Linked DNA regions of Saccharomyces cerevisiae S288C. Changing the gene in region 2 together with the main gene of any one other region gives a genetic interaction. Each region holds a gene or a part of one and is shown on either strand. Other genes may lie near its edges.

Evidence for each region. A genetic interaction does not mean that the proteins touch.
Region 1: mutations in CEG1 (region 2) and PSP1 together harm fitness more than expected from each alone (negative genetic interaction), as found in Saccharomyces cerevisiae (2 studies listed by BioGRID).
Region 3: mutations in CEG1 (region 2) and KAR4 together harm fitness more than expected from each alone (negative genetic interaction), as found in Saccharomyces cerevisiae (2 studies listed by BioGRID).

The regions. Positions count from the first base shown.
Region 1 is NC_001136.10:1,456,088-1,461,064, forward strand, and holds PSP1 (Psp1p), read right to left. Parts: upstream 3,134-4,977; coding exon 608-3,133; downstream 1-607. Other genes in the region: SPG3 (Spg3p), read right to left, coding at 224-607; GMC1 (putative oxidoreductase), read right to left, coding at 3,641-4,977. UniProt on the Saccharomyces cerevisiae protein: DNA polymerase alpha mutation suppressor.
Region 2 is NC_001139.9:262,735-270,140, reverse strand, and holds CEG1 (mRNA guanylyltransferase), read right to left. Parts: upstream 3,997-7,406; coding exon 2,617-3,996; downstream 1-2,616. Other genes in the region: U2-type spliceosomal complex subunit CWC23, read left to right, coding at 1-848; mitochondrial 37S ribosomal protein mS29 RSM23, read left to right, coding at 1,066-2,418; DNA-binding E3 ubiquitin-protein ligase SNT2, read left to right, coding at 4,282-7,406. UniProt on the Saccharomyces cerevisiae protein: Second step of mRNA capping. Transfer of the GMP moiety of GTP to the 5'-diphosphate terminus of RNA via a covalent enzyme-GMP reaction intermediate.
Region 3 is NC_001135.5:26,292-29,543, reverse strand, and holds KAR4 (Kar4p), read right to left. Parts: upstream 1,616-3,252; coding exon 608-1,615; downstream 1-607. Other genes in the region: PEX34 (Pex34p), read left to right, coding at 2,185-2,619; PRD1 (metalloendopeptidase), read right to left, coding at 2,638-3,252. UniProt on the Saccharomyces cerevisiae protein: Component of the MIS complex, a complex that mediates N6-methyladenosine (m6A) methylation of meiotic mRNAs and is required for initiation of meiosis, progression through the meiotic divisions and sporulation.

The DNA of each region.
Region 1 (4,977 bases), on a different chromosome or scaffold from region 2:
ACGATAACAGACCTTGATTAAATGTAAACTACATATAAGTTTATAAGGGTTGGTTGATTCCATTATTTTTTGTTTTTTATATAAAGCCTATGAAAAATAAATGGAAGCGGCTGTTAGAATATAAAATAGAAGTTGAAACAACAAAAATGTAAGAAAGTTGCCAACAATAAATCTCAAACTTGAAAGTGTGGATCGAGGAATATGGACAATCTTTAAAAAATTTTTAGTCCCGTAGTTTTTCGAATTTTTCCTTACCAGTGACCATGAAACCATGATTGGGAGACGTATAAGTAATTTTTATCAAAGTTAAACAGAATAATGAACATTTTCTTCTATTTCTCCCTGTGAAGTTTTCATATAGAAAAAAACATAAGGGAAAGAAAATATTGATAATAGAAAGATAGTACCAAATTGAATTGGCAGGAAAATAGGTAAACAACGAACAGAAACGATAAAACAAAATAACATAAAAAAAGTAGACAAAAATAAAAACAAAAACAAAAACAAACAAAAACAAAAACAATGAAAAAATGTTAACAAAATAATGGCAAATGGTTGTCTTTTCTTTTAGAAAATTTATAGTTACAACAAGGAAATAACAGATCATTTAATGAAATAATTCGTGAACTAATTCTTCATACACAGCAATCTGAAAGTTGTCGAGTTCAATTTCGTTCAACGGAGGTGCAAAATTAACTCTGTTATTCCCCCTGTTCTGCGAAAACTCATTGACATTCATTAAATCTTCAGCATTGTAATTTTTTACTATGTTTTGATATAATTTCAGCTCTTTTTGTTGTTTATCATAATACTTAGAATCAATAGACAGATTATTCGGGATGGCACACAACCAAATTCTTGTCTTGTAATATTTGAACAGCTCTTTTATCAAGTCTCTAAAATCATTTCTCTCCTCACAAACGTAGTAAAACGTTAATTTCTTTCTATCAAATTGGAATTCTGCGTTTAAAATCTTGATATTCAATTTAGGCTTTGAATAAGTTGCAGCATTCGTAAAATTATTGGAAGAACTGTCATTTGTATTTTGAGATTTTGAATTATCATTTAACGCTTGTAATTTACTCTGAGCAATATGCAAGGCTTTTAATTCATCTTCAAATTTATTGTGCAAATTCGTTGTTACCTCCCACGGGGTGGCAAAACGTAAGACTTGTTTAGATGGTATGATTAACTCAGTTAATTCAACAACATCATACAATTTGGGATTTAATTTTTTCTTTTGCCCATTTTTTGAGTCAATCAACATTTGAATAAACTCATCATTGCGATAGTGCTGTGACTCACTTGTAATTAAAGAGTCAAAGTGAATTTTCTTTTTCAGAAAATTTATAAATAATGCTAAATTCAAATCGACAGAGGGCTCAACAACCAATACTAAATCCCTTCCACGGTCACCATCAATAATAACCAAGTCACCTCTCTTTAACAACAAATTGGTAGCTTGTGGAGTAGATAGTAGTTCAAGTTTCCCATTTTTCAAAGCAACCAGTACCAATGGTGTATAAGGTAAAAAGGAGTTATTAGCATTCCTGCATGATAGTTCTGTTGTGAAAGAGCCCTTCCTCCTATTTTTATTGCCTCCATTATTGGAAACAATTCCATTATTCGACTCTGGATCATTAACGTAATTCATGTTGCAACTTCTTAAAATGTCCAAGAAATTTAATAAAGATTGGTATGTATTACCTTCTTCATCGATTAAGCCCATGTTCTTCGCGTCGTAACTTTCATTAGAATCGTGCAACTTCAGCATTTTCTTAATATTATCTGTGAATTCAAAAACTGCAGAGCTAGCAAAATAGCCGCTGCCACAGTCGCTGTATAAATCGTGTAAGGTTTTGGACGAAGTCAAGTGTTTACCCTGAATTAAAACTAAACCATTGTCCAAAGATACATTTCCTTCATTGCTGTTCTCGTTCTGAAGGTTATGTGAGTTTGTAGAAGAAGGGACAGAACTGCTTCTTTGAAGTTGAACAAGCTGAACATCATCAACACGTTCGCCATTGAAAGAAGTAGGTACATTAACGTTTCTTGGTTGTTGTGGTTGTTGTGGTTGTTGCTGTTGTTGTTGAAAAGTAGGAAGGGATGGATTGAAGCTCGCTACCGGTTGTGTATTCCGGCGAAACTGTTGCATTGGAACCATATTGTGACTGTTGTTGTTGTTATTACTATTGCTGATACTGGCATTATTAGGCTCGTTATCATAAGGATACGGAGGTTGTACACCATTTCCAAACTCGGGCACACCTTTGGCGGTCAAATGGGTTGAGTTCAAGTTGTCATAGTTGAATCTGCTATTGAAAAGATTGAAACCTTGAGCGTGTTGCTGCTGCACTTGGGATGTTTGCTTTTGCCGAGCGTCAGGCATTTGATGGTTGATTAGAGTATCTGATATGTAGGAGGATCTCCTAATGGTAGACTCTGGATGAGATGGCTGTTGCCAATTAAATGATGGTACTTGTTGGTTGTTCATACTAGATGGGTTGCCAGCACTGTGTGATGGGGCAGCAAAATTGCTGCCGCTATTGGAAGTAAAACCTATGTTTGTTTTATTCATTAAACGCATGTAGTCTGAATCCATCCGATTCCCCATTAGGTCGTTTCCATTTGAATGAAATGAATTTCCATTAAATTGCGGGAACGACCGTTGTTGAGCTTGATAATTACCCATTTGAGTAGAGTTTAAATTATTGTTATTGGATGAAATGGGCGGTGCGGACATCGGCTCTGAATTAGACGAAGACATTTGAAAAGAGGTCAAATTACTGGAAGGGTGTTCTTGAATGAACCCGTTCTGGTGAGAAAACGGTTGCTGTTGTTGATTTGGCACTGGTGGCAAATACGGAAACCTACCCATAAAATCAATATCGTCAAAAGTCCTCCTGTTTTCCATACCATTTCCCGCACTTTTTATTGAGTTTCTCAAATTATTCAGGCCAGCAAGCGGATCAACCGTATCACTTCCTGAATTATTGGAGTTATCATTCAGTTTACGGGGTAAATCGGATAGCGATTTTCCGCTGTTATTCTTGAAAAGCAAGTCCTCATAGTAGTTCTTTAAATCCACATTGTCGGAAATGCTTGTTGTGCTATTAACAGTTGGGAGGTCCATTTTGCAACTGTATTTCTATTGAGCACTGTATCAGACACCGCTTTTTTTGATTTATCCTTCGTTTTTTTCTCTATAATTCTCTTGAGCCTTTCAATACACTTTATTCTTTTCTATATACGCTGTTTACTATATCAAAGAACACTCGAACTGATGCTATCTCTGTTTCTAACTGCCGAACCAATGAAAAATACAGCTCTTAATTATCAGTGAATCCTTCTTCTTATCCTTTATTTATTTTTGTTTTGTTCCTTTAGCTAAAACACGGATCCGTAATGTTATCCAACACGATTAGGGGAAGGATTCGTCTCCAAAAAACCGTTATGACCCAATCCTATATGACCTACGGCAGTCAGAGAAATACAGGTTTTCGCACTCGGAGGCGATTGTCGCCAATGGAAAGCTAGCCGATACTTTTTCCGTCAGCTTTGCGGGTTTTCTTTTTTGCGGCCTTGTAAACGGCTGTGGGAAAAGCGAAAAAAAGCAATGAGTTGGGAGAAATGGATGTGATTACATGAGCAACCAGTAGAAGATAGCATCAACCGCACACATGATTAGGATGTAGACGGCTATTACCTTGGACTTATTTTGTTCAAGTGCGGCTGTATGGACAACAGTGTTAGGGTCAGGTTCCTTGGTAGGGTACGATAATACAGCTGTAGTTGCTTGTTTGGTACTGTCCTCGGTTGTTGTCGGAACCTCAAAGACAATGCCAAGCCCCTTCATCATGTGCCACTCCACATGACAATGTAAAAGCCATTTTCCGGGCATCTCGGTGTTAATTCTCAAAACCGCGTAAGAATTTCCTGCAATGTTAATGCTATCCCTTACCATCGGTGCCTTTCCGGTTCGGGCCAGGTGACGTAAATCGTTCTGATAGCGGCTCCATGCCTTGCCCTCTTGTACGTCTTTGTGAAATGGGCCATCACCTTTATTGCCAAGAGATATTATCTGGAAGTGATGGCCATGCATATGCCATGGGTGTCTCATGTGGTCCAGTGAGTTGATTACAATATCATATGTTTCGTTGAATCCGAACCTTACCGGGTCTTTTACGTACTCGCTGAATGTCCGTTCGTTCACCTTATACATCCCAGTCCCATACTTTTGTTTCGTGCTTTCATCTTTGTAATAAGCATAATCGAATTCGAAAACTGCAACAGGATCAGCCTTTGTGCGTAACTTTTTATTCTCTTCTTGCGTTGGTTCTATGTCGCGATAAAGCTCGGCCTTAGTGAAACCAGGCAAGTGTTCGATGGAAACGTCATTGGGGTTCTTTGGTAGGTCCAAATGAGCGCCTTCTTTGTAAAACCACCACTGTTTTGTTATATAACCCATCATTTTGTTACAGCCATTAATCATACGAATAAAACTAGTGTCAGACTTTAGTTTGACCAAAATTGTATATCTTTGTCCGACCGCTAAATTTATCGTTTGTACAATGAACGGTTTAATCATAATCCCGTCGGCTTCTAGAACAATTAATTGGAATCCATCAAGGTGAAAGACTTGAGTACCAGACATTCCTGAGTTTACGATTCTCAAAAGAAGATACTCGGTGTTAAATCCTATTTTGATAGTTTCACCGTCAGATGATTTTCCATTTATTAATGATCCATCAAATTTGGGATCTGTACCCCCGGTAGATGACAAAACCTTGTCGTTTAAAATGTCCAAATTCCAATTGGTATACCAATCACTCAAAGTGATAATCCTTTCTTGAACTTCATAATCCGTCAATTCCTTCGTGTGTTTATCTTTTTTCATTGTAACAACACCGTCATCTAGTGTCTCTATGTCTCTCACAGAATTAATAGTATTTGCCACATGATTATCATAATCATCGC
Region 2 (7,406 bases):
CAGGACACGAATTGGAAGACGTAATAAATCAACGTTTGAACCTATATGATGTATTAGAATTACCGACCCCCCTGGACGTCCATACCATCTACGATGATTTGCCCCAAATTAAACGCAAATACAGGACCCTTGCCCTGAAGTATCATCCTGACAAACACCCGGACAATCCATCAATTATACACAAATTCCACTTATTATCGACCGCAACTAATATCCTCACCAATGCAGACGTGAGACCCCATTACGACCGCTGGTTAATTGAGTTCCTACGGAAAACAAACGACATTGAAAGAAATAAACTTATACAAAAGCTGGAAGAATCTGAATCGAGTACGATACCCACCACCACACCACATCCTGATTTATTGCAAATCCAACGCCACGGCGAGCTACTCAGGAAACTAAAACATTTCAACTTGCCCTATGGTGACTGGAAACATCTCAACACACAAGACCAAGAAAATGCTTCGCAACATCCGTATTACGATTGCTCTACTTTGAGAATTGTCCTTGACAACTTCCTGCAATCAAATAATAAATCAAACTGCTTATCTCATTTGCGCAATCAAGTATTCATCACGCTAAGTGCTAATGAAATCTACGACATCTACTTCTCTGAAAGAAACAACTACTCGAAGGATGATTCAATCATCATATATACTGTATTCGATACTCCCATCACAGCGCAGCACGTATTCCGAAACTGGTCAAGTGGGAACCTCATACCCACGGTCAAGGATATTTCGCCCTTGATCCCGCTACATTACTACTCTGATTTTAATTTGGAGACGGAACTGAATGACGATATTGCAAGACTGGTCTCTAATGAACCTATCCTACTCGACTAGCTTGCACATATGTATGCCTGTTTTTCTTTATCCTATGGAACACTATATTTTCCGGGGCTTTCTTACAAAACGGAAGAAAAAGAAAAGGAAACTCAGCAAGTACTATGTACAAGAATATATATATATGTATATTGTATATATACATCAACTTCTATACTTCGAGGGAAAACATTAACAAGAGAACAAGTACAAGCCACGTGGTATACGTATCAGAATAATGCTACGTATGTCAACTTCAAGATTCATTGGGCAAAGGCTGTTCACTACGGCACGATCTCTCCAGGCTGCTAAACCGGCACCAAAAGGTAAAACTCAAGGATTTTCCAAAAAATCATCTTCAGTCTCATCTTACTCATCTGCAAAGAGAGTTACTCCTGGTTCATTGTATAAAAACTGGACAAACACCACGCACACCGCTCAATTACAACAGACCGCCGTTCCTTTGGCATTACCTATCTTCAACTTTGATGATATTTCCAAGACTTTGAATAAAGTAGTATCATATTCCAACAAACAGTACAAATCCCTTCACCATTTGGGTTCCTTCAAGAAGTCGCAGTTCAATGAACTTTTTCAAAAACCGGTTTGTCTAGTTCGTGAAGATGCAACGAATAGCTTTTTGAAGAAACTAGTATCTCATCCTGTTAAAAAATTTATAATCACTGGAGAGCCAGGGGTCGGGAAAACTGTACTACTCTCTCAAGCGCATGCATATGCAGTTGATTCCAAGCAAATCATTATTAACATATCATATCCTGAATTATTCCTGAACGGTAGGAATGACTTTTCTTATGATGATGATTTAAAGCTTTTCATCCAACCGATGTATTTGAAAAAGCTTATAAGGAAAATATTGAAGGCAAATGACCCTGCATTGTTAAAATCTATTGAGCTATCCAAAGACTACAAGTTCTCGAATGCAAACCCAAAGAATGCCTCTGTAAAACCATTTGTCACATTAAACAAAACGAAAAATACAGTTTTAGATTTGTTATCCGTAATGACCCACCCGCATAATCGTGGAAAACTAATGAAAGCCATTATTGATGAGTTATCTGTCCAATCCAAGGTGCCAATCATGTTTACAGTGGATAATTTTTCAAAAGTGTTAACTACTGCATATTCTGCGTACAGAAATACAGAGAATAAACAAATATATTCCCTGGATTTACAAATGGGTAAATTGATGATGGACATTATTTCAGGAGAGACGAAATTTGCTAATGGTGAGAGTTCTACTATATTAGCTATATCCGGCGTTGACAGGACAAACAAAACTTTACCCGTGGCATTGGGCAAGATCCCAGTAGACCCCTATGTTACTAGATATCACTATGAACCGAAGTTCGTAGAATTGCTCCAAAAAGGTAATGTCACCGAATTCGAGGTTCCTAAACTGAACAAACAGGAAGTTAACGAACTAATCGATTACTACAAACAATCAAATGTTTTATTAGACAAGGATATCACAGGAAAAAAGTGGGAGAACTTGATTGACGAAAAATATTTCCTAAGTGGTAACGGTAACCCAAGAGAATTATTGAAAAGTTTAGTCCTTTCCCATAGGTGATAAGCATGCGCATATATATACATGTATATGCGTATATAACACTTTCACCCTCGCTTCTCAAAATTCTCCCATTTCTCATGTACATATAAATAGATAACTAACTGAATTAATTTAGCAAAAGCAATTGCTTTTGCTTTTCTATCTTATTCATACACAAAATTCTTACACCGATATATGTCGATACGAACACTTCTTAGCCTAATCCGACCAATCATCCTCGTCTACATATTTTGGCTCCTTATCATTACTTGGGGGCTGTGAATGGACTGGCTTAGAGGTAGATAATGTCGCATTTTGACTTTGAGACGGTAGTGGTCTCCCACTACCACCAGCCATATTTGCTCTTCTCTCGTCCCAGCACCTTTTAATATCACCAACAATTTCCTCGAGGTCCTCCAATGAAACTGAATCGTTGATACTCTCCAAAACTTTCTGGACCACCGATGTATGATTACCATTTAACTTATCATCCCTGAATCTTAACATTTCCCACGCCCCAGTCTCTTGGTTTTTTGCGCACTCTACTATTCTACCATTTAATGGCTGTTCTAGGTTCTTCAAATTTTGCCATTCCTCATCTGAAACGCTCAACTCTGCAAATTTTCTGTATGTTCTTTCTAATATTTCAAATTCCTTCCTATCGAAAGGCTGGTCGAAATGTTTTAAACGTGAATTGACATCAGCTCCGCCTTGCCAGACATATAAGCTGAAAACTGGCTTAACGTCATAATTGTAATACCACCTGTTCCGATCATCTTTAGGCAAAGAAGGATCCTCCACCATTGGGATATCTAAAATCAATTTGAAGTCCACGGTGTTTTCTTGTTCTGGCTTCCATTTTAATAACAATGAATCTTTTCCGCCGGCAGTGTAAGGTGCCTTCACAGGAGTAAATATCAGACCATCAGAAAGATGTGGTAGTTTATCTAAACTTTTAGCAACTTTTACTAATTGGTAACTGAAATCCATATGTTTCATGGAAATTTTGAACGGAAAAGTAGTACAACGATTAGGGTACGCTGCTCTTAAATCGAAGTATGGTTTAAAAAATTCTTTTCCAAGGTGGGCTAGTCTAGAACTTGTTGGTGATTGTGTGAGACATCTACCATTGATAGCAAGACAATCGAACATTAAATAACGCAACTCTTGTAATTTTGTCATTGGGTTAGTTTGTATGACAAGTTCACCATCTAATAAGGTGCCATCTTGAAGAGTCTCTAGCAGCTCTTCTTTCTTCTTTTGGGGTAATCTGGGAAACCTAAATCCATTAACCAGATAATAGTTATTTTCCCTATCAATCATAAAGCATCCTTGCTCACCCGTCACAGGATTTATCACTATAAACATCAACACCCGCAGACCATCTGTTTTCTCACAAACGTAGTAATCATGCGCAAGCAGCTTCTCTTCCACATCAGAATGCTGAAAGGACACAGGCTGGGAACCAGGGAATGTTTTCGTAGGTTTTGGGGAATTCAATAATTTACAGACCATCATCTTCAAGTCTTGCGTGACATTCCCAGGTTGAATGAGCCCAGGAATTTCCGGTGCCACTCTACTTTCCATTGCTAAAACCATATTTGTTAAATTAGCGGTCGATTCGTATTTGCTTATTCCGTTAGTTAGCTTTAGTTTAGATATAACAGATCGTATTCCACCATTTCTTTCGTTATTTTCTGCAATGAACTATTTATTATACTAGGTTACGCTTCGGAGCGACTGACCCGAACATCATGGAGAACTATATATATTTTATGATATTGCTTTCAAAAGGACTAAAAATAAAATGCCATCGAACTATCTGGTGGCAAAATTGGCCTATCGGGACATATTGAGATCATCTGCCTTTCAGCTGGTCACGCTATGCCTAAAGAAGAAGATTTCCAATTACCTAGAAGAAGAGAGGCTGCTAAAAACGTGAATTATAATGAAATGGAAATAGATACTAAATTAGTTCAACAAATACAAATAGCGGAAAAAAGTGGTGCTAAGACCAAGGGTAGCAATAGCCAAACTCCCAGGAATTGTAAAAGGACAAGCAATCCAGCTAGTAGAAACGAGAAATTCAAGTACCAAAAATTCCTTCATGATAAGAATACTTGCTGGAACTTTATCCCTACATTACCCCCTTCGTTCAGAAAGAATAGCAGATTCTCTAACATACTTGATCTAGATGATGCCATGATTGACTTGAAAAAGATGTCTCTTTTCAATACAGAATCTGTCCTTTTATCTGCGAACGACACTATTTATATGATATCAGAGCCTGCTGGCGAGCCTTATTATGTTGGCAGAGTTGTAAATTTTGTTAGTAAACCAGAATTTTCTAACACTATTCATGAAGCTATAAAGACAACATCGGTCTTCCCTGCTAAATTTTTTCAAGTTAGAATGAATTGGTTTTATCGTCCTAGGGATATTCAAGAGCACGTAAATACTTTTAACCCAAGGTTGGTGTATGCATCATTACACCAGGACATATGTCCTATTTCATCATACAGGGGAAAATGTAGTATATTTCATAAAGACGAAGTTTTTGATGTTCTTCCTAATGAGAAGGAATGCATTATACGACCCAATATCTTTTACTTTGATGAACTTTTTGACAGATATACTTTGAAATATTACAAAGTTTACAGCACGGATAAAATATTAAATAAATGGAACAGTAAGTCGCCATTTCTTTATGTTTTGAATAGGAGATTTCGTTATATCTATACAGAACCGAAGTATCCATTGGAGAACGTTTTGAAGAAATACGTTTTCCATGAACTAGAGGTAAACGAATTAAGTCCTGCAGACTACCAATGGGATAAAAGATGTCAGTTCTGTAAAGAATGGTGTATCCAAAAGGAGAGCCTTTCATGTGATGAATGCGGCGTTTGTGCACATCTATACTGTATGGATCCGCCACTTGACAGGAAGCCGAACAAAGACGTCGTTTGGACCTGCTTCAGTTGCTTACAGAAACAACAAGGTACTAAGGACTCGCATGTTAGGTTTCTAGAAGAACAAGCACTGGAACTGGATTTTATTCGCTCTGTAAGACAAAAAATTGAAGAAATTTCTAGCAAAGCTATCAAAGAGAATGTTGGTTATAATACCGAAAATTGCTGGTTTCAATACTTAGGAATATATTCCATTTCTCATATTGGTGACGCATTAAATGATTCTATGTTTTTTCCATATCCTTTCAAACCCTCTAGGGTAGGAGTGAAGTATCAATGGAACGGATGTAATCATAATGTGCCCTGGAGGCGGAACTCGTATATAAGTGCAAATTCAGAAGAAGAGCGAGGCTCAACGAAAACTTCGGAACTAGCATGGGTACTTGATGCATCAAAAATTACTACTCGAAAATTGAGTGAATATATTGAACAATGCAAAAGCGAAATATGCCCTATTCTCAATGTGAGAGGTGAGACTTGTAATTTCATTGATGTAGTCCTAAAGAATTTATTATTTACAAATTATGATACAGCAGAGGCATTTAAAAAATGTAAAAGGGAGCTTTCCAGAAAATTTTTGAAAGAGCCAAGTTTTACCGCCGTGGAGATCCGAAAGTTTGAGGAAGCTGTCGAGAAATTTGGGAGTGAATTACGCCCAGTGTGTGAGTATGTGGGCACTCAACCTATGTCGATGATTGTTAGATTTTATTACAATTGGAAAAAGACTGAAAGAGGCCTTACCGTGAGAGGGAAATTGAGTAAGTTATCAAAGAATAAAAGAAAAAAAGAAATCGCTAATCATGAAAATGACGTAGAGACAAAGTATATAGATGATTCTTCTTTTGATACTGAGAAACTCTCTTTAGCAGAATCCTCCTTCCAATGCATGTTTTGTAAAACAGATTACTCCCCGATGTGGTATAGAGTTACTGGAGGTTCAGATGATGAAAAGATCAAGATAAGAATGCAGACAGGAGTCAACGAAAAAACAGAAATTTCAGAGAAATCGCCTGCCCATAGCAAAAAGAATGAAAAACTTGGCGCTCTTTGCATTCGTTGTGCTCGTATGTGGCGAAGATACGCAATTAAGTGGGTACCACCGCTTGAAACATTGAGAAAAATAACGGGAACCTGTCAGAATAGTTTTTATTCAGCGATAGAAGGGATTATAGAGGAGAATAACACAAACAAGTTTACGTTATCTCCCTTTCAAGCTCATAATAAACTACTAGAATGGGAACTTGTTCAGGATTCAGAGCTAATTATCAGGCAAAGAATGAAAGTTTACAAGAACCCAAATTCATTTGTGAAAATGAAGCGGTATTCCATGACATTCCACACGCAACTCTACAAAATGGCTGTGAGATCATATCGAAAGAATGAGTTTCACCCGGAGACGATGCAACGAGATCTTGAGCTATTTATAGAGGACAACAAAGAGGTAAGAAAAGCCATCCCTGAACAAAAGCCAGAAAGAGCGAAAAACACAAAGGACGAATTTCCCGTGAACATAATTCGACAATCACCTGGTACTATCAAAACAAGTGATACAAGCCGAAATCGCAAGTGCAACGATGTATTTATCGAGAAGGCTAGTAATAACAATATTCCTAAAATCACTAATGCTTCGAATGATTTGATAGAAATTTCAATTAAAACAGGCGGCAGTTCTTCTGGTTCAGTGTCTGTAGATAAAGGTTTTAAATTTGTCAAATTTGATAACAAAACATTTCAGCGATTACGGAATAGCTTAAAGTTAGTGAATAATAAGCTGCCAAAATATAATGAACCTTCAACGAAGAAGATCAAAATGATCAATGACATAGCGTTAAGTAATCCGTTAAACGAACCAAACGGGGCATCGTACAATTATACAGTTATTTCACATTCTAAGGAAACTTCTGTCGCCCTTGAAAAATACCATGATGGTAATAAACCGAGCAAAATGTTAGAGAAAGACATGATTTTGAAACACACTAAGAATAAACCAAAAAATCCTGATACAGCATGGGCAAATAATAGCGCAAGGACTTTTTGTAG
Region 3 (3,252 bases), on a different chromosome or scaffold from region 2:
AATATTGTTTTGTTTATTAAACATTTACAAACTTAAATAAACAAACCAACAAATAAATAAACAAATCAACAAATAAATAAACAAATAAATAAACAAAAAACTATGATAAAATATTTCTAAAAATCTAATTGGAAAACAAAAAACTATCCAAAACCCTGGGCAAAATAATTATTTCGAATAAGTACCTCGACTTCAAATCAAAACAAACAAACAAACAAGCAAACAAACAAATAAACAAACAAATTCTCTGTTCCTATTTTCTTCCTCTTTGTTCTGCACTTCCAGCTTTTTATGCGAGAACATCGTGTAAACTTCCTATTTAAGTAATTACATGGCTGAAAAAGTGAACACGCTAGAACACGAAAAGACAAAAAAGAAAAATGGAAAAAACAGAGGAAAATCAAGTAGAATAATGTTTATTTACCTTTCACTCAACTGTATCTTTTTGTTTATTTACTTTTCGAGTTTGCATAATTGTACTGAATCAATCCTTGCGCAATTTGGTTTTGAGAAGAGTTTCCAGTAAAATAAAATGCAAAATTATTGTTTATATACTTATTTACTAGTATATTTAATTGAGCTAAGCAAGGATTTATGTGTTGATGCTTTATTGTGCTTTTTGTACTGGACTTCTTGGTCTTAACAGCTCAATCTCATTTTTTAATGGGATATTCGAACCTAAATTAGCTATCTCTTCTTTATATCTCTTGGGTGAGAAGTTATCCAACATAACATCTGGGCTCACTATAACCCAGCCAGGTCTTACTTTGACGGGTGTCTCGTAACCAGTCCTTGCAGGAATAATATGTAATCGTCTAGTCGCGGTAGAGAAGTTTTCTGCAATACGATACAAATGGGATGGTACAGCACCATTAGTGGTGTCCTTCGTTTCGATACTCAAGTCAGTGTCTACGTTACAATGAATAAGATGTCCATCTGTAGACCTCCTTACTGTACCTGTGATACACATCCAACAGTGCCATTGCATTTTTTCCATCAACGTTTCATCGTCCTGATCTAAACCTGGATAAAACGGTGATTTCTTGTCAATAGGAACAAAAACCAATTCTTCACTTCTTCTAAACTTTTTAGCCCATATTTCATTATTCAAAAGTTTAGTAAGTTCATTGATTTTTTGAGAATTGGCCCAGATGAACAGGAAACCTGGTTTGGAGATCAATCTATCCAATGGCAATTGGGTTAAAATTGGGTAAATAAACTGATTTTCTGTTAAGCAGCCAATCATCACCACGTCGAAAGTCAAATTTTCGTTCTGTATCCAGTGATTCAACGTTGGAACAATGGAATCTATTCCGATTTTACACCCAAATGGCGTAGTGGCAAATTGATTTATTTGTTTAGCTTTCGCCTGAAATAATTTCTGAAGTTTTGGATAGCCATCAACCCTATTCTCAATATTAGTAACATGCTGTTGCGGTAGCGACTTCCCATGAATGTAGTTATTCGAGTAATCGTTTGTATGGAAGTCTCTAGAGGGTTTGAATGATACGTGTTTAGATTTCATTTCTATTGTTTCCTGGTTTGGCCCTTGCAAGTGACTGTTGTTGATGTGTCTGCTTTTATTCTGGTCGTAAGTTGGATCTTGGAATGCCATCTTAATAGTATTCTCACTTCTCTTTTGTTTTATAATGGCTGTTCTACTTTCTTCTATGTCATAATATTTAACAAAAAGTCGCACTTGAAAAGTTGAAACAAGTTATGTCGCAAGATGAAACTCGGAAATGACGAAGTGTGAAACAAGACTACAGAGCGACAAAAACCAAGCTGCAAATATACAGTAATGAAACTGAAAATATGTCCAGCAAAACTAAAATTGTTTGAGCTCGATACTAACTTCCTTCTTTTTTTTTTTTTTTTTTTTTTTACTTTTGGCTATCCTATTGTAAACGCTGTTTTACCCTTTTGCAAAGCATTTGATCACAAGATATATCCCAAAAACTATTTTTTGACTTAAGGCATTAAGAGGAGATAAGGCTCCTAATGTCACATCCAAAAGCCAAAGTATGGGACAAGCATTTCGCCCCTTTGCTCTTATTGCTTCTTGTTAAGTAGAAAGGGTAATTATAATCGAAAAATTCGCGGGAAATGATTTCAATGTTCGACTCTGAGGTAAGAAGTAAAGAGGAGATGAATAAAAGTAAAGGAAGAAGAAAAGAAAGTTGAATGGTTTCGAAGAAAAATACGGCTGAAATCAGTGCAAAAGATATATGGGAGAATATATGGAGTGGTGTAAGTTCGCTGCTTGATTTCTTCGCAGTATTGGAAAACCTAGGCGTGGTCAACGATAAGTTATATGTAAGTGGGCTATTACGGAAAGTTTGGCTGTGTTACTCGTGCATTTCAGTGATAAAATGTGTATGGAAATTAATAAAATTATGCAAGGTGAAATTTAAAATCGATCAACGATTGGATGGGGAGGGAAATGGTCTAGTAAAGGATAAGTTGATAAACTTCAAGAAAAAATATAACGAACATATCAGACATATTACTGCTGCTTTACTCCAAGATTTGAGCTATTTAATGGTTTTAATCTATCCAGGGACGAGGTTATTTAAAAGATTATCTAACATAATAACACTTTGTAGAATAATTGTATAATTTTATGCTTGAACGAATTTAGTTCTGTAAGCCCAGCTCCTTCAAGAAAGCATCCTTAGAAGGTTCCCTACCCAAAAATTCTTTCAGATTATCATTAATATCATAAAGGCCACCACGAGCCAACACAATATCACGGTATTGTATCCCATTCTTGGCATTTAACGGATCCTTAGCGAATTTGGTGTGATACATATCAGTTGCAAAGACTTCCGCCCATAGATAACCGTAATAACCGGCAGAGTAAGAGTCTGACATTATATGGCCAAATGAATCATAACCCTTGGATAACGTACCACCATTAGAAATCAAAGAAATATCCTGTCTCAATTGGTTCCAGGTATCGCAAATTGACAGGTTTTGCAAGTCTTTACAAGTATGTACTTTCATATCAAATAACCCAAAATGTAATTGTCTTAGAGTGAATAAAGCACCATTTACGTGTTTAGTTTTGATCAATGAATTGATCAAAGATTCTGGAATTTTTTCGCCCGTTTTGTAATGTGATGAGAGGTTGATTAATTCATTCTTATTCCAAGTCCAAAATTCTAACATTTGGGAAGGTGCCTCCACAAAATCCCATGGAACAGATCCGGGGCCATTAAACCTCGATTCCTTGTTTTGTCCCACCAGGTC